Linked DNA regions of Astyanax mexicanus. The protein of the gene in region 2 purifies or fractionates together with the protein of the main gene of each other region. This does not show direct contact. Links are inferred from orthologs where the notes say so. Each region holds a gene or a part of one and is shown on either strand. Other genes may lie near its edges. The genes, in order: vps51 and vps50.

Evidence for each region.
Region 1: the proteins of vps50 (region 2) and vps51 purify together in Homo sapiens (affinity purification with mass spectrometry; 7 studies listed by BioGRID and IntAct, counting the BioPlex papers as one, with this or other methods). This does not show direct contact. The link is inferred for Astyanax mexicanus from reciprocal best matches to the Homo sapiens genes VPS50 and VPS51.

Annotation. Positions count from the first base shown.
Region 1 is NC_064427.1:12,762,876-12,772,466, reverse strand, and holds the start of vps51 (vacuolar protein sorting-associated protein 51 homolog), read right to left. Parts: upstream 3,925-9,591; 5' UTR 3,773-3,924; coding exon 3,617-3,772; intron 3,297-3,616; coding exon 3,167-3,296; intron 3,054-3,166; coding exon 2,907-3,053; intron 2,779-2,906; coding exon 2,559-2,778; intron 1-2,558. UniProt on the Homo sapiens protein: Acts as a component of the GARP complex that is involved in retrograde transport from early and late endosomes to the trans-Golgi network (TGN).
Region 2 is NC_064410.1:48,235,207-48,244,727, reverse strand, and holds the start of vps50 (syndetin), read right to left. Parts: upstream 3,801-9,521; 5' UTR 3,677-3,800; coding exon 3,644-3,676; intron 1,394-3,643; coding exon 1,325-1,393; intron 1-1,324.

The DNA.
Region 1 (9,591 bases), on a different chromosome or scaffold from region 2:
CCATTTTAAATTATATTAGATAAGAGGAAATTCGTTCAGACATCATTTTTGTAGGCCAGGCTTTTGTAACCGATTTAGCCCCTACTGTTGCCACATTACCCCTTACGTTTTATTATATAAATCAGTTTCGAAGAGCCTGCATTTTTTTTATCATGTCTGCGCGAGACTGATTTTTAAACCCACTCTTCCACGCTCCCGCGTTTCTGTCTCGTTACCGCGCCGCAAAAAAATTGCTTCTTTTAATCCCGCGCCCGCCCGCCACATACACATTTCTGCCGCTCCCGCCCCACGTTCCTAATATAAATTAAATAAACTACATTTAATGCTTCAAATTTACTTATATATTTATTAAAACAGCAGCGCTGAATAGTGTGGTCCCGTTCCTTACCCCAGTCCAAACACCATCGGTGTGTGCGTGTGTGTGTCGGTCCATCCTGCGCGTTGAGAGTTTTCTTTAGGTTTTTTTTTTTTTTACAATTATTACAGTTTTCTTAACTATTTATTAATTTGCTCCCGCATCGTCTGGATTAAACTCCCGCTCCAGCCAATAACAGTTCAGTTCTGTCCCGCGCGCAAGATATTCTGACGGGACCCGAGAGAACAGAAGTGGTTAGAGTGAGGTGGAACTCTGGAAAGGAGAAAAAAAACGAATATCCGAATACCAAAATTAAAAACCGAATACCTACTCAACGAACGAATATCCGAATACCCGAATATTCGGGTCCAGCCCTACTATTTAGTGTGGTAGCATGGGCTTTAGGACACAACCTCAATTTTCTGTGATTGTGGAAATCTTTAAGATGCATCAATGCACAATAACCATTCAACATCCTCATTACAAACACAAATACAAAATAAAAATATAAGTAGTAGTTAGTAGCAGTTGTATAAAGTTACGTACAGTGCCTTGCAAACGTTTTTCGGCCCCCTTGAACTTTTCAACCTTTTGCCACATTTCAGGCTTCAAACATAAATATATGAAATTGTATTGTAACAAGTGTGACACAATCTTGAAGTGGAACAACATTTATTGGATATTTTAAACTTTTTTTAGAAATAAAAAACTGAAAGGTGGGGCGTGCAATATTATTTAGCCCCTTTACTTTTAGTGCATCAAACTCACTCCAGACGTTCGGTGAGGATCTCTGAATGATCCAATGTTGACCTAAATGAGTGATGATGATAAATAGAATCCACCTGTGTGTAATCAAGTCTCTGTATAAATGCACCTGCTCTGTGATAGTCTCAGAGCTCTGTTTAAAGCACAGAGAGAATCATGAAGACCAAAAAACAGTAGGCAGGTCCGAGATACTGTTGTGGAAAAGTTTAAAGCCGGATTTTGATTAAAAAAAGATTTTCCAAGTGTTAAACATCTCAATAAGCACTGTGCAAGCGATCATATTGAAATTGAAGGAGTATCAGACCACTGCAAATCTACCAAGACCCAGCCGTCCCTCTAAACTTTCAGCTCAAACAAGGAGAAGAGCAGAGATGCAGCCACGAGGCCCATGATCACTCTGGATGAACTGCAGAGATCTACAGCTAAGGAGGAAGAATCTGTTGACAGGACAACAATAAGTTGTGCACTCCACAAATATGGCCTTTGTGAAGCAGTGGCAATAAGGAAGCCACTGCTGAAAGAAAGACATAAGAAGTGCTGTTTGTACAGCAAACATGTGGTAGAAGGTGCTGTGATCAAACAATTCAAAGTTGAACTTTTTGGCCTAAATACAAAGTGTGGCTGAAAAGTAACACTGCTCACCCTGAACACACCATCCCCAAAGTGAAACATGGTGGTGGCAGCATCCTGGATTGGTCCTGCTTTCCTTCAGCAGGGACAGGGAAGATGGTTAAAATTGATGGATGGAGCTAAATACAGGAGCATTCTAAAAGAAAACCTGCTGGAGTCTGCAAACGTCTGGAGTCTGGGTCAGAGATTTATCTTCGAACAAGACAATGATCCAAAACATAAAGCAAAATTGACAATCTACAGCTGTAATCGCAGCAAAAGATGGCACTATAAAGTATTAATGCAAGAGGGCTGAATAATATTGCACGCCCCACTTTTCTGTTTTTATTTCTGAAAAAAGTTTCAAATATTCAGTAAGTTGGATAAATAAGTCTTAGAATGCTGATGTTAATAATGTGATGAATGAGACAATTCAGTCTGAACTTTTCGGACTCTCTATTTTTTCAGTGGCGGTGTAGAAAACTGTACACACCACAATCTGGTTTTATCTCTGTAATTTTTCTTTAATTTCTCTTTTAAGCGCTATAATGCTTTATCTGCTTTCTTATGGGTATTTTTATACATTCTGAACATGCAGTTGTGTGTAAATACGGTGGTACAGAATGCAGTAAAATATAGTCTCTTCTGGTACTGATTTTGAAAAAGCTGTAAGATGTTAAGTTATGATTGTTCTCTAAAAATAAGCCATTAGATATCGAGTTATTAAAAGGCAGGTAAATAACAGGTCAATATAAAAATGTAAACTGACATAACAGAGATAATGTTCAATCTCCATCACAGTTACACAGTATTTGTTGCCCCATCAAACCTGAATTTCTGCCGTAGTTGGTGTGCAAGTCGCTCCATGATGGCGTGGCAGTCATCCTGGATGCCCCTGAAAGAGGGCATGTGGCTGTACTGTTGAAGCACACAGCGTGCCCGCCGGTGAGAGCTCACCGCCTGAGCATACGCCTGCAGCTCCAAACACTTATTCAGCCTCGCCGGCAGTTCAAACAGAAACTGCAGCTTCCGCAGGAGAGTGTGAACACCTGCGCTGAGACAGAGGGAAAATGGGAGACGAGAGAAGACAAATAAGAATAAGAACAACAGTTCATCTAGAGAAACAGGTGTCAATATCTGATGGACAGGTGGGTCTATGAAGGAATGTCTTCCGTGCCTGACAGTTTTGTGATCTGGGTGTGCTGGTCCTGCAGCGTTCCACTGATCCTCGCACTGAACTCAGTTATGGCAGACATATTGGTAGACAGGCAGTCCATCTCATCCTCCATTTTTTTAAAGTCATTCTTCATCTTCCTGATTGTGTCTGAGGACAGTAAATATTGTTATAATATTGTTTACATTTAAAATAGAGCAGTAGACAAGCTTTCAGACTGAAACTTAATGTCAGGTAAATAAAACTATGCTCAATTTACTAACCTGTTGCAGAAATGAATTTATTGTAGTTTTCATAAACAAGTGTCTGCATGTCGCTGTCGAGGGATCTTATCTGTTTTACCATACAGCTCTCCTGATCCATCAGCTCTGCCAGAGAACACTCTTTCCTCAGCTAGACAACATGCACACTTATTCATTATTTGTTAAAAAGCCAACAAAATTATTACACATAGATAAATAAAATGTATTTTTTAGACTATAATTGCTGCGGTGATTATGTTTTTTGCTGGTAATAGTGAGGTAAAAACGTATGTTTAAGTAACTACTGGAGTAAATATGTGAATTTAATAAAATTCCTACAGTAAAATTGTAATTACTGAAATGGTATACCGGTACTTATTTCAAATACGGGGGTTAATTTGTGAATGGACTGTAGTAGCTGCTGTAAATATGACTGATTATTATATATGGAAGTCGGTGTGTTAGCTGTACCTTATTGAGGTAAATCTCTGGGTCAAAGTGAGCCCCATTGATGTCGCAGGGCTCCGGCTCCTGCTGCTGCGGCGGCGGCTCCGGGCCTGAACTGTAGTACAGTCGGAGGAGCCGCCGCTTCCGGCCCGGAGAGGAGCTGCCCGAGTCGACCTCCATCCCACGATAAACACACACTAATAAACCCAAAACCGGAGCAAAAATAACGCAATGAACTCTCCAGTTTTCGGAACACCTACCGCAGTAATGCGGGGTTACCGGATTCCCAGCAGAACGTCACAGAATCTAGCAGCGGGGAAATGGCGATCCTTAACTGTCAAAATAAAAGTCCACAAGAAAAAAAAACTTAGTACAAAATACAAATTAGTTTTGTATTACAAAGTTGTGAGAGAAGAATCTTAGATAGAGAGGAGAATCTCTAATAGAGAGAAGAATCTTAAATAAAGAAAATAATCTCTAATAGAGAGCATATTCTCTAATAGAGAGAAGAATTTTAGATAGAGAGGATATCTCTAATAGAGAGAACATTCTTAAAGAGGAGAATCTCTAATAAAAAGGAAAATACTCACTTTTCACCATATTTCCCTAAAACAACATGCAGTGTTATGTTTTAATGTTATGTAAAAATATTATGTTTTATATGTTGGTCTTTAAAAACATTAACATAAAAAAAAGTTTGTATTTGTTTTTGTTTTTTGTGAAAAACGAATGAATTATCCGAATCGAACCAACCTGTTAGAGGTAAGAAACACCATTTCACTAAATATTGATAGAATAATTAGTAATGGAGTTAGTAATTAAATATTTACACGGCTTGTTTTTTTTTGTTTCATGAATAAACATAAATAAATAAATACTGAAATCTGAACATGCGATTGAATTATGAACTGCAAACTATGGAAAACTGCAAATCATGCAAAAGAAAAATTAATCAAATTTAGTACCTAAACAGCACTATCATGCAAAACTAAGAAAAAACAGCAGAAGCAGTTTGGTCTGTGGGAGGGAGGAACCCGGAGTACCCGGAGGAAACCCACATGCACATGCAGCCCTCACACATGACGGCCCACATAACTTCAGCAAAAAATGGGACAGCTGATTCCTTTCAGATATTATTTTGACTGCTAATAAACTGAGCCAATCACAACACTCGCTTTCAGCTCTAATACTGAATGTCCAGTCATACACAGCTGCTGCAAACAGTCAGCAAATATACGGTCACCCTTAATTTGTATTAATTGGATATTTAAACTCCTGCTCATTGCAAAAAAAAAAAAACACTGGATTTCTAAAATGTTATTACATATTTGCCAATTAGATAAAAGTGGGTGCCTTGTGTGTTATTTAATGTTATATTTATCTTTTTTTTCATAATAAGTAAATATATTTTTCTATAATCACGTTTTATAACGTTATATGATTTCTACATATACACAATTCAAATATATATCAGTAAATAAATAATTATTTCATGAAATAAGTGTGCTCTGTGGGCGTGTCCACAGCTATGTCACTCCAAATTCCTTAAAAGACTTCCTGGTTAGGATACTCTGGTGTACCCTCAGCTACAGGGGTGTAGCAGCAAATTCTGGGCCCTGCACACTCTCAATGTCAGAGGGCATTGACAATAGCTTTTAAGCACAGTACTGCACTGCACTGCCAGAAAAATATAATTACCAGAAGAAGAAAAAAACGCTTTATTGGTTAATATATTACTTGTGTGCACTTGAGCCTACAGTGACATTGTAGGCTATTTTAAGGTTAATATATTCTGCAAATTAAATTTATATTTACAGCCACGTGAGCATAGAAACATAAGCAAACATAAGACTGACTTATACATGTGAAAAGTGTCCGACATTGTGCCAAAATACAACATGAACGTTCACACATTACTCTTTTTTTGTGTTCTTGCGCCCTCTAGTGTCGCTAATGTGGTATATATAATAACATTCATGAGTTAAAAGAGGTAAATAATCTAAAAATACACGGTGTGGGTAAAAATGGTTAAAAAGAGTTAAATATACAAAGACAGTGTGGGTTAAAAAAGATTAAATTAGGTTAATTATGTTAATGTTGTTTCCTTGTTTAGTTTATTCATGTTAACTTTAGTAAAAAGGCTAAAAAGTCATGCATTGCACAGGAAGAATAGAAGACTCAAATGAGTTTATACAGCAGAGATTAATTTAGATAAAAGTTATTTGAGTGAAAAATGGTGATTTTATTCTTATCAGAGTCCTAAAAGGATTTAGCTACTATGAAAAAGATGGTTTGTGTATAAGTGGACAATAGGGGGAGCTCTTGTCAGTCCTTTCAGTGGGGAAGTTATTTCTAAGAGGAACTTAAGGGGGCGCTCTGATGTGTTTTCTCATTCTCTGCAATACAGCACAAGAGAAAACATCACAGTCTAGTCTCTCTTTATTCCTTCCCATTGTCAGGTAAATATGTATAAAAAAAGGTAGATTCACCCATGAACATAAAAGTGCTCTGTTTAGAGAACATGTTGTTTTGTTTTTCTGAAAGTTTTGAGTGAGATAAATATGCTAAAAACACTACTGTGTGTAGCAGACTGAGCATGTGGTTAGCAGTAGCTTATTGTTCTTAGGCCTGCTTAATTGTTTATACAATAGCATGGGGTGCATGTTTAAGCAGGGATTTATGAGAACAAATATTGCTACAGGGATTGAATATTGGCCTGTTCCAGTAATTATATGCATAAATATGTTTTTTATTTTATCTATATTCTATCTCTCTGTAAACAATGTTCAACAATGTTGTATACTGTGCAAGGAAGTTTAGTTAATGTTTCTCTGTAGTATAAAGCAATTGTTAATGCTGAAAGATACCTACTGAAAGACAATTTTGCTTTTGAGTTGTTTTGTACTTTATGAAAAAGATTCTCTACAATACAGCACAAGAGGAAACATCACAATCTAGTCTCTCTTTATTCCTTCCCATTGTCAGGGGTACAACACTAAGAGAACATAACAGTATTTACAAGTCATGTAACCTGAGGACATATTTTTTTTCATACATTTTAACACCCCCACTGTACTCAGGTTGGTAACAACAAAACAAAAATTCAACGAATGTGTACCCTTGGCTTACACATATTAAACACCAAAAGGAAAACCTGCAAAATTTCTCAGTTTAAACTTGCTTACAGGTTTCGTCATCACATCAGCGACCATTTTATCAGTAACACAATACATTAAATTTTACTTCACCCTCATTCACAGTAGACCTAATAAAGAGATACTTAATGTCTGTGTTTTCAACGCTTTCTGTTTACAGGGTTTCTGGCAAGAGCAATTGTTCCCTGATTGTCTTCATGTATTACCGTTTGAGTGTATTTTTAACTATCCATATTCCCCAGTAATTTTTCTAGGTAAAGACACTCTTGAACAGTAGAAGCAAGTGCCATATACTGTGCTTCGCATATGGAAAGTGCAACAGAAGGTACTGCGGCGATCACTAGTATCAGCCGCCCAGTCTGCATCACTGTAGGCTTGTATACCAAGATTCTCAGTGTTGTTTCTCCTAAAGGTTAAACCTTTGTCTGCTGTACCTTTAACGTATCACAGGACATGCTTCACAGTTACCCATTGCTTCTCTGTAGGCTCAGCTAGGTATTGTGACGGCCTTCTCACCACAAAACTCAGATCAGCCCTAGTGCAGGTTGTTAGGTATATCAGACTGCCCACGGCCTCTCTCTACATCCTGATGTCTGTCATTTAACTGCATCACCACTGTATTCGAGCTTTTACTCACAATGGGTTTCTCTCACCCTACACTCTGACATGTTGAAACGCTGTAGAATTTTGTTGATGTACTTCTCTTGTGACATCAATATCAAGAAAATGTTTGAGTTTACCCAAATCCTTCATCTTGAATTGCTCTGCAAGCATCCCTTTCACATTTTTCAGTTTCTCTTCATCGCTTGCAGCGATAATTAAGTCATCAACCCATACAATTATCATCACTTTCCCTTCTTTTGACTCTTGGGAATATACACAGTGGTCAGATTGGTTATGTGTGAATCCACATTCCAATTAAAGCACCTGGCAAAAATGAAGGGGATTATGTAAACAGCAAATACTTCCACAGCATTAATATACAAGTATTGTATAAGGACTAATACTTAATACATTACAAAAACATATTTTCTCCACTATTAAGATTATATGTGATGCTACCAACATTACTAATGCTGAAGCCAAATAGCCATGCTCTGTACATGATGCAAAGATTTTTCGAGAGTCTGCACTATACCGTAAATTTGATCAGGCCTATGTTTTTGATTTATTTATTTCCTAAAGAAAAAAAAAAGCCAACAAGTGAATTTTCTTGTCCTTATTCTTGGTAAAAACAGATATATACACTCACAGCAACTACTCTCACATTTCCAGTCTTGTCTGTTTTATTTGCCATTTTATGTGTTCCTTTTGTAGATCACACTTCTCAATTTGTTTTTTTAGGTGAACCTAGTATAAATCTTTAACAGCCATCTTGAACGAAAGAGACAAAAATACCATGTTATGCTCAAATAAATAGCTTTGTGTTCAGAATAGTTTTGATATTTGTTGACATAAGCATTCTCACTGTTCCAAGCTGAGCTTTGGAGGTGGATAGTTTACAGCCCAACAATTTACAGATAAGCTTCCAGACTTATCAACTCTAATATATTCTCCTATAGACCCAGTAGAACTAGACAAACTAACCAAAGGTTTAGAAAATACCTTTCGCTCTACCTTAGATGTTGTAGCACCCCTTAAACACAAAATAGAGAGACAGAAAAAGCTCGCACCGTGGTACAATGATCAAACTCGTACCTTAAAGCAGTTAGTACGAAATTTAGAGCGTAAATATTGTTCAACTAAACTGGAAGTGTTTCACTCTGCGTGGAAAGACAGTCTTGTTAAATATAGAAAAGAACTTTATAAAGCCCACTCAGCATATCTGGCCTCACAGATCGAGATAAATAAAAATAATCCTAGAGTTCTCTTTAGTGTTATTTCCAAATTAACTAAAAGCCAGGCAGGTACTGAACCTCAGATTCCAGCCATTCACACCAGCAACGATTTTATGGACTTCTTCAATAGTAAAATTTAAAACATTCGGGATAAAATTAAACAGATAAATATTACATCCTCTCTGTCATCTGGTCTGGCTGATCTAGAACAAAACCCTGTCACCGAAGTTAGGTTGCAAGTCTTTAACCCACTTCCACAGCTAGAACTAGAGAAAATTATCTCCTCTTCAAACAGCACAACCTGCACACTTGATGCTGTTCCCACAAAATTACTAAAACAGGTACTACCAGATATAATTAAACCTCTGTTAATGATAGTAAACTCATCGCTCACCCTGGGCCATGTACCCAAAGCCTTTAAAACAGCTGTAATTAAACCTCTGATCAAGAAACCTACTTTACTGTCTAACTATAGACCTATTTCAAACTTACCCTTTATTTCTAAGATTTTAGAAAAAGCTGTAGCCCAACAACTTTGCTCTTACCTGCAAAGAAACCAAATCTATGAAAAATATCAATCTGGATTTATGCCTTATCATAGCACTGAGACAGCTTTAGTTAGAATAACAAACGATCTACTTATAGCCGCCGACCAAGGCTGTGTTTCCCTACTCGTACTTCTCGATCTGAGCGCAGCCTTTGATACAATAGATCATACTATCCTTTTAGAAAGACTAGAGAACATGGTTGGTGTAACTGGAACTGCCTTAGCATGGTTTAAATCGTACTTAACCGATCGCTATCAGTTTGTGAGGATAAATGATATGTCTTCCAGTTATACCAAGGTAAGATATGGAATTCCACAAGGCTCTATATTAGGACCGTTATTATTTACATTATATATGCTCCCACTGGGCAAAGTTATTAGAAAACATGATGTGAATTTTCATTGTTATGCGGATGACACGCAGCTCTTCATATCAGCCAAACCTGATGACAGAGTGAG
Region 2 (9,521 bases):
CTCCCACTGCTGCTGCTCCGAATGGCTGAAGCAGCTTAACCTCCTGCTGTGTTCCACCTGTACCTCATAACAAAGCAAGAGAGACTGAATACCACAGAACTCTATACGGTCCCACACAGCTTTTCTCATGTGAGTGGTCCAGAAGCAAAGACAACTAAATAATCTACACATACTGAAGTGTTACTTTGCAGTTTATATTTATGCTTTTTTTTTAACATTACCTTATTTTGTCACGCTATTATTTTTTAATACAATTCTTAGTAAGTTACTTTTTATGAAATAGACAAAAATATTTATAATACATTAAACTTTAATGTTTATTTTGTTGCAATAGTATATTCTTAAAATGAATAATAAAAATATAAAAAATTAAATGTTGGAATATGCCATATCATCCACCCCTAACTCCCACATACAATAGAACAGTGTACTGTGCAGGCACCATTCACCTTGTGTGTCAAAAACCTTCATCACACTTTCCATTGTATAAGGTGAGACTACCCTCTAGCTGCACAAATAACTAATGCCATTTACTACAGCATATATATATATATACTAAAATTATGCGAAAAGAAGTGTACACGTACAGTATATGCATATATTGAGGTGACACACAGCGTAATGGGTAAATTATTCTTTTTGACACTTACTTCCTCAGTCTCTAAAGCAGAGTTCTGAAAAAGCTGAAGTAAAACTGTGGGCAAATCAGGCCAAATGGTCCTAAAAAAGACTTAAAAACATCATAGCATCCTTTGTAACTAAAGGCTGGCATGATTAAAAAAAGCACTTCCACTGGCAAGCAGGACTGAAACTGTCCCATCATATACCACATTGAATAGTTATTTAAGGGCAAAATAGAAACAATAACATAACACTATATACTGGACAGCCATATGGACATTACTAGCTGTTTAAACAGCAATGGCAATATCAGTAGCATTATCTCTATGTAATCAGTACTTTGTAGCCTAATGCAAAGAGCTCAGTTCTAAGGAGATCTGAGGGAACACAGGAAATTATCATATGGAACAAAATACGCTAGTGCAGTTGATTTAATGCTTTCCTCTATCAGCCATATCAGATAAAAGGGGCTAGGCCTCAAGTTGTTTACTCAGTCTAGAGCTACGTGAAAGCAGACTAGAGCAGAAAGCAACTGCTGAGTTTAATCCGTTAACAACATGTTCCTATTTTCTAGATGACAATTCATGTTGCATTATGGTGATGAAGTAAAATGCTACAGTAAAGTGCAACTGTAACTGTTACTATGCACAGTCACACTTCCTAGGTTAAGTAATCTGTATGAAGAAATACTTATCCAACTCACCTTGCTGGGGATCCTGAAGTTCTCTACAGGGCTCATATCTGCCATACTCTCCTGAGGGCTTTTCAAGCCCTGTTAGGGAAAAACACAAAATCACCACCATCAGTTAATCGGTTAGCATTTACATTAAATTATTCATAAACTAATCACTAAAATCCCTAATGCTGAACAACTGCATGTGTACCGATACAGCTACAAATAAACACAATGCTAACCAATGTATACTTACTTATTACTATGCTGTGAGAGGGATAGAGAGAGTAAGAGAATGAGAGGGAATGTGTGAGAGAGAGAGAGAGAGAGAGAGAGAGAGAGAGAGAGAGAGAGAGAGAGAGAATGGATGGGAGTAGGTAGCTAGCATAAAAACTTCTAAAATCCCTAAAGCTGAACAACTGTATATGTCCCCATACAGCTACAATTAAACACAATGCTAACCAATGTAATATTGATGCTGAGAAAAAGACAAAGTGGAGGGAGAGAGCAAGCTAGCATAAAAACATTGACTTTCTTAAACTAACTAACTGAGCAGATCTGAATGTGTACCACTACAGCTACAAATTAACACAATGCTAACTTAGGTAATATATGTTGCTATGCTGTGAGGGTGAAATTGAGAGAACAAGAGAGAGAGAGAAAGCACGAGAGAACAACAGAATATGAACAATTACAGCTACACAATAAACCCAATGCTAATGTAATTTTTAATACTATGCTGTGTGTATAGCAAGCTAGCATGAAAACAGAGTTTCATTTCTAAACTAACCTAAAACCAGAAACCCAAGCTGAACAACTGAATGTGTACCACTACAGCTACACACACAATGATAGCTAATGTAGATAAGGTTTAATACTATGCTGAGAGAGAGCGAACAACTGAATATGAACCAATATAGATACACAATAAACACAATGCTAACCAACGTAATGTTTAATAATATGCTAAAAGAGAGAGAGAGAGAGAGGGGATAGTAAACTTTCATAAAAACATGAAGCCTTTCTATAACTAAACAACTGAGTATGTACCTCTACATATACACAATAAACACAAGGCTAATGAAATGTGTAAAGCTAACATGCTGTGAGAAAGACAGGAGAGGGATAGTAAACAAGCATTAAAACAGAGCCAGAGAGAGAGAGAAGGGGGTAGCAAGCTAGCATAAAAAACGAAGGCTTTCTTAAACTAACCCTAAAACCCAAAACCCCTAAAGCTGAACGACTGAATATGAACCACTACAGCAACAAATAAACACAATGCTAACATCTAATGTAATGTTTAATACTATACTGAGAGAGAGAGAGAGAGAGAGAAAGAGAGAGAAAACAACTAAATATGAACCACTACAGATACAAAAAAAACACAATGCTAACATCTAATGTAATGTTTAATACTATACTGAGAGAGAGAGAGAGAGAGAGAGAGAGAGAGAAAGAGAGAGAAAACAACTAAATATGAACCACTACAGATACAAAAAAACACAATGCTAACATCTAATGTAATGTTTAATACTATACTGAGAGAGAGAAAGAGAGAGAAAACAACTAAATATGAACCTCTACAGATACACAATAAACACAATGCTAATGTAATGTTTAACAGTATGTTGAGAGAGAGAGAGAGAGAAAGAGAAAGAAAGACAGAGAGAGAGAGAGAGAGAGAGAGAGAACAACTGAACATGAACCTCTACAGATACACAATAAACACAATGCTAATGTAATGTTTAATACTATGCTGAGAGAGGGGGAGAGAGAGAGAAAGAGGAAGGGGATAGCAAGATACGATAAAAAACTGCTTTTCTTAAACTAACCGCTAAAACTCAAAACCCAAGCTGAACAACTGAATATGAACGACTACAGCTACACAATGACAACCAATGTAAGTTAACTAATTAGCTAATGCCTAATATTAGGCAGACAGATAATTATTGTTGTTGTTGTTGTTGTTGTTGTTGTTGTTGTTGTTGTTGTTGTTGTTATTATTATTATTATTATTATTATTATTATTATTATTATTCCTCTGCTGGTTAAACGCAGTGGAAGCCCCTGAGTCAGCTCTACTCGCTCCTCTGCTCACTCACACTAAAGCTAAAAGCTTGTAAACAATTCCAGGTTGTTTTTTATTTGTAAAATCAGATAACCGCATGTTTATAAACATGCCCGGCTCTCTGCTCATGCCCGGGTTCAGAGCTGCACCGCTGTGCTCTCCGCCGCTAGCATCATCTGTTTATCACCTGGCTAACTACACTTCCGGTCCTCTCTCATCTCTCTATCCCTCTTTCTCTATATATCTCACAGACTGAGCTGTACCGCTGTAGCGCTGCTCACCTGGCGGGACATCAGAGACTTGATCTTCTGCATCTTACAGCTCAGCACGGGGGTAAATCCAGCTCCGCGGATCCTACTGCACTAATGTTTCACACAGCCTCTCAATACACCTCTCTCTCTCAGACCGCTGCCATGTTTCTCTGTGCTCACGTGACCGGGCAGGGTCAGTGGTGCATTCTGGGTTGTGTAGTTTAGATAGCCCAGAGACAGCGCAGTCAGGTAATGAAGCATAAACATTAGAAATACAAAATTAGAAATGTTGGTTATATCTATAACGTTACTTTACTGGAGTAATAATTCTACATCTACTCCTTACATTTTCACACAGTTATCTGTAGTTTCTAACCCTTACATTTGAACCCATTGTGATGTATGTGCCACATATTATTTAAAACATAGATATATTAACTGTAGAAGTTTATCATTTGCTTGAACACACATGTTCAAATTATTTAACCATTTAAATGCTTTTAAATGTTTTAGGTTCCATAGAACTAGTTCTGACCTGATTTTTTGAACAATAAGAAAAAAACATGAATGTTATGCTTACTGAATTTATCTAATTTAGTTTTGAATTTAGCCTCTATATTCAGAAATTTATTTGGATTCTTATAGGTAAAAAAAAATACCTAGTTACTCCTATTTAAATTTCATTTGTTTTCATTTCAGCCTGTCATCTTTAAAAAAAAATCTTTCCAGATAAATCTCTTCATCTGGATATAATGAGGTTACACTAGCAGACTCATGTAACCTAGGATTAAGGTGTGTGTGAAAGGAGTTCTAGAAGTGCTGAGCTTTTGTTAGCTGCTTTTCCTTCCCAAACTACCTGGGCTGGGTGATTGACAGTGACAATACAAACCAATAATTTGGTCTCTGAAAAAAAATGCTGTTGCTCTTTATCGCCAGCAGATGGCAGCAGTGTAACAATGAATGAACAGTATAAAATGCAGACAGTGAGATATTAGGATTTGTTTGATCTTTATTCAACAAAGTCTTGATTGTAAAGTGGTTGAATAATTGGTCATCAGTGCAAAAAATATACCAAGGAAACTTGCTGGAATCAATATAGATATTTAAAAAATATATTGAGAGATAGATTCCGAACAGTACTATCTTGCTTATTCCTTGCTTATTATAAGCAAGATACTCTAAAAACTGTACTCAAAAACTGTTATGTTATTTAATATAAATTGAATATGGTGATCTGTGTTGACCTGATATTTGGGCAGCAGAGACTTGTTGAATAAAACTCACAACTATCTGATTGGACGCTGGCACTGGGAATGCACACTGGGCATGTTCCTCCTCACTTACCATCAGTGTTTTGTCATTCCTCTGCAGGTTGTCTTTCCTTGGGCATTCCTTGGTTTACAGTCCATGCAGTGAGGTTTTGTGTGAACTGTATTGAACCATCAGCATAAGGTAAAATAGTAAATGATAAAATGTCTATTATTAAAAACTTAAAGCAACTTAAAAAAAAAAAAAAAGGTTACATACTCGAATATTTTGTTGGAGCGCCTTTAGCTTTGATTGTGGCACACATTCACTGTGTCATTGTTTTAATAAGCTTCTGCAATGTCACAAGATTTATTTCAATCCAGTGTTGAATTTATGTTTTTCAAGATCTTGCAGCAGCATTGATGATGGTAGAGTCTGACCACTGCACAAAGCCTCCTCCAGCACATCCCACAGATTCTCAATGAGGTTAAGGTCTGGACTCTGTGGTGAACAATCCATGTGTGAAAATAATGATCTCATGCTCCCTGAATCACTCTTTCACTATTGCAGCCCCATGAATCCTGACATCGTCATCTTGAAATATGCCTGTGTCATCAGGGAAGAAAAAGTTTTTTGGTCAGGCAGTGTATAACATTTTTGTATGAAATTACAGCTGTAAAATCTTGATGTTCCAATGTAGTAAAGACAGTGGGGCAATGTATGGGGCATTTGTGGCTAGGTAGTTAAAGCACCGGGTTACTAATGATAGTTAGGTAGATTTGTGGGTTCAGTACCTGGGAGCAGCCACTCCTGGGCCCTGGAGAAAAGGACCCCAACATTCACTGCTCCCAGAACAATGCAGCAATGCCTGACCACCAGTCGGGGCACATCATATCACTGTGTTCATGTGTGTGTTTATGTTCATTGCAAGGAAAGATTAAAGGTGGCGACCAAATTCCACTATGTCCAATACAAATGGTGTATATGGCTGTATATGTGTAATACGGAGAATAATGTATGTATACCTGGGTTCGGCCTGCCAATAGACTGACATGACTGAGCAGTACTACTGTATGCTACACCAATATAAATCTAATTATCCATTAGCAGAGCATAAGCATGACAAGGATTGGAACAAAATATTGATATATGTATTATATCATTACCATTTTCATGTCACTTGCGATACATTGTCGATGCAATGCATCAAATATTAATATTTGTGTTGAAACATAGGCGCTTTAAACTTCCTAAGACTTAACCCCCAATTTGTTGGTCTAATTGTGCGAAACTGACACTAATAAATCCATAATTCTTTGTATTTGCTTATTTAGTAGTTTTTTATCGTCAAGTAAGACAAATTAACTACAATACTGTCACAGTATCAGTATCATGATATCAGTATCGTGGGGAACATAACGTGAGATGCCCTAATTCTCACCAATAATCATGATTCTTAAGATTTTAAGCTAAAAATGTCACATAATGCTGATTAAACGTTGTAAACGTTTAAGCTGTAATCCTAAAAATTGTCCAGATTTTTTAAACCATGTAAATTCTCGTTACTCAACAGGTCTTACAACATAAACACTGCATTCTCTTCACGATGCTTCAACACCTACTGTTCCAAGAACTGTTTAACTCAAAACACATTAGTGGAAGCAGCAGCATGCTGGTGGGTTTATTTGGAAATAATTCTTTTACTAAATAAAATACTGGGTGAGGTAAACACTACAGAGGCAGTAGTGGTACCAGTTCCTGGTTAATAAAAGTCAGTGACATTAGTCCTGATTTCCCTGTCAAATGAGGGAGCGGCAGAGCTTCCAGACAGAGGAGGTGTAATTCCTCTGCTCCTCCTGCAAAACACACACTGAACAGATGGTCTTCCACCATAAAAACCTGTGCACATAAACAGCATCGTTCAGCTAGTATCAGTGTTACGACTCAGGTCCAGCAAACTAGTGATGTACTGATGTGCCCTCAGGGTTCTGATCAGTTTGCTAGATCAGCTAACAATAACTGAAAGGAGATACGCTTCATAATAGGAGTTGTCTGATAATAACTTGCCCCAAGAACAAAAGCAGATACAATTATTGTTCAAATGAATAATTATGCAAGTTTTTATTAAAATGCCCTGGTGCTCGGTTTGCCAGTAAAGCCTCAGGGCTAACAGTCTCTACTGTGCCCACTCTTTAAAGTGCAAAGTCTCTGGTAATTAAAGATGAACAAAAGCAGTTATTGCCTATTTGTGACTATGTAATGTGTTATGTGACTTTGGTTGAGGTGAAAAAAAGCTCAGATGACAATCCTATTTACAATCCTGTGGCAGAAACATGTATTATTTCATTTACTAAGAGTTTGTAAATAGAAAAAACATAAATTTTGTGCTCAGATTGTATTCAGTGCTTTTCACCTCCATCAAAACTTGCTAAACCCACATATCATCACAACTTTAAAGGAGAAATCCAGTGTGAAATAAACTTGTGGTCAATGATATGCCCCTAACGCTAGCATTGTAAGCCTGTTGGAGGCATCAACTAAAAGAGCTGTATTTTGGAATGCTGGAGGTGAGCTATTCAACCAAAGTTAGTATTTATTATCCTGTTTCAACAGACCACAAGTGTATTTCACACCAGAGATTTTATTTAAGGATTTAGGACCCTCTCTAGTGAAAATGGGTAATTGCACCGAGCATGCGGAAGAATCATTTTAAACTGGACAGGTGTGATTTCAGAGCAGATGAATCCAATTCCATGTTATGTTCATTTAGAGAGAGAGTGAGCCTGCTCAGAAACTTCACTTCTTCGTTTGTTTGGTTTTATTATGGTTGAATGAGCTACTGAGCTCTGAGTTTCCCCTTCTGAAGTCTCCATTGCTCCACCAGCCGCTTGAGTTCAGTAAAACGGAGCCGGATCCTCTTTTATAGGCTGTACGTGTGGTATAAGTACGTAAAAACACCAGTTTTTACAATGAATATATTAGGCTTAGCAGGGAAGGTTGTTTCAGCACACTGATACCACTAAACACAAAATGTTGTCCCTTCTCCACTCAGAAATGCTTAGGCTTTCAGTTTAGAAACAAAATAATACAGACTGCCCTATTAAACTTGTAATAACAATGATATTCCCAATTTAATCTTTGTTTAACCAAACAGTGTTGTTGTCCTCATATTGTCTCAGTACAAGACAAGCTTTCAGCTTACATTTTGTTGCCTGGCTACAACTGCTTTAGCCTAGCTTACTTTAACAGGTTTTTTGGCTTCCTCAAGCTCTACTAATAAAAAAGTAATCCAGTACTTTGGATTTATTTAATGTTTAGCTCTATCTTGGATGAGGTAATGTAGTTTTTACTGAGGGAGTTTTTTCTTGTCATTATTGCTCTAGTGCTTACTCAACAGAACAGACCCAGATCTCACAACTTCTGTTGTAAAACGTGTTATACAAATAAATTTAAATGAAATTGAATAGTCCAGATTGGTTAAAGCTAGCTCTTAGCCTAGGTCAGCTCCCTGTTTACTCTCTCCAGGATTTGCTTTATCACGTGATGCCTCTCTTTCCGCAGACACTGGCACAGGAAAAGCAGCAGACACAGAGCCTTGTTCATGCAGTAACCTGTGTCATGCAGTAGTGAGCTGCTCAATGTTATTAAATCACACCATATTTTTCATATAACTTTCATCAATTACATGTTACTGTTCAACTTTGATTGAACAGCTTTGGTTCTGGTTCTGCTGGGTTTTCTTTAGAAGTTGTAACAACAGAATTTGGTGTTTATGGGTTGTTGGTTTTATGTATTTAAATCATTATTCAACTGTACTGAGGAACATGCAGCTTAACATTCTGAAGAACCTAGAAATGTTTGATTGGTCATTTGAGCTTGTCTGAAAACAAAGTTAGTCTTGTGAATCTGAATCAACTACATTCATTTATACTGGGGTCTCTTTTAGGTGAACTGAAATTTTGATAATATTCAAAAATCCGCACATTGCAAAAAAAAAAAAAAAAAGATTACCAAAGATAAAACAACCCTGCAACAAATGGAATCACTTAATCAGGAGAAGTTTGTGTCGTGACTCAAGTGAAGAGTGAGCCCAGCTGGAGTCCAGTCCTGAGTTCTAAGCCTTCTGTCACTTGCCTCGGATACATTGTGGACACGACACTTTCATTCATATTCATGTGCAATTGCTTAAAATCTTTATTTTCAAAATGGAGAGCATTTTTATTTATTAACTGTAAAATAGGAGCAAGGAAATCTTACAATCTAACAGCAGAAACTGATCTGTGCAGAAACTGCTTCAAGGCAACATAAAGAACAATATCTCATTTCTATGACACAGATTACCGCAGTACACAATGTCATTGCTATGTGCAAAAATAGATTATTAGAATAAAAAAAATGCATATTATTTACATTCATATTTCAAGCAAAGCAATGGAATTAGGGCTTGGCTGCACTTGGTATAACAGTACGAACACATAAATACTCTCTGGTTTCAGTGTGGCCGATAGCAAACATGTACAGTATACAAACACAGAACTCACATCATTCCCACAATGCTTTTCAGACAGTCATTACTAACACCACTGAAACTGAAGGTCAGTGCTGTTGCGAATGCTCAACAATTTTGACACAAAAAGAACTATAAAAAATGATCTGTTGT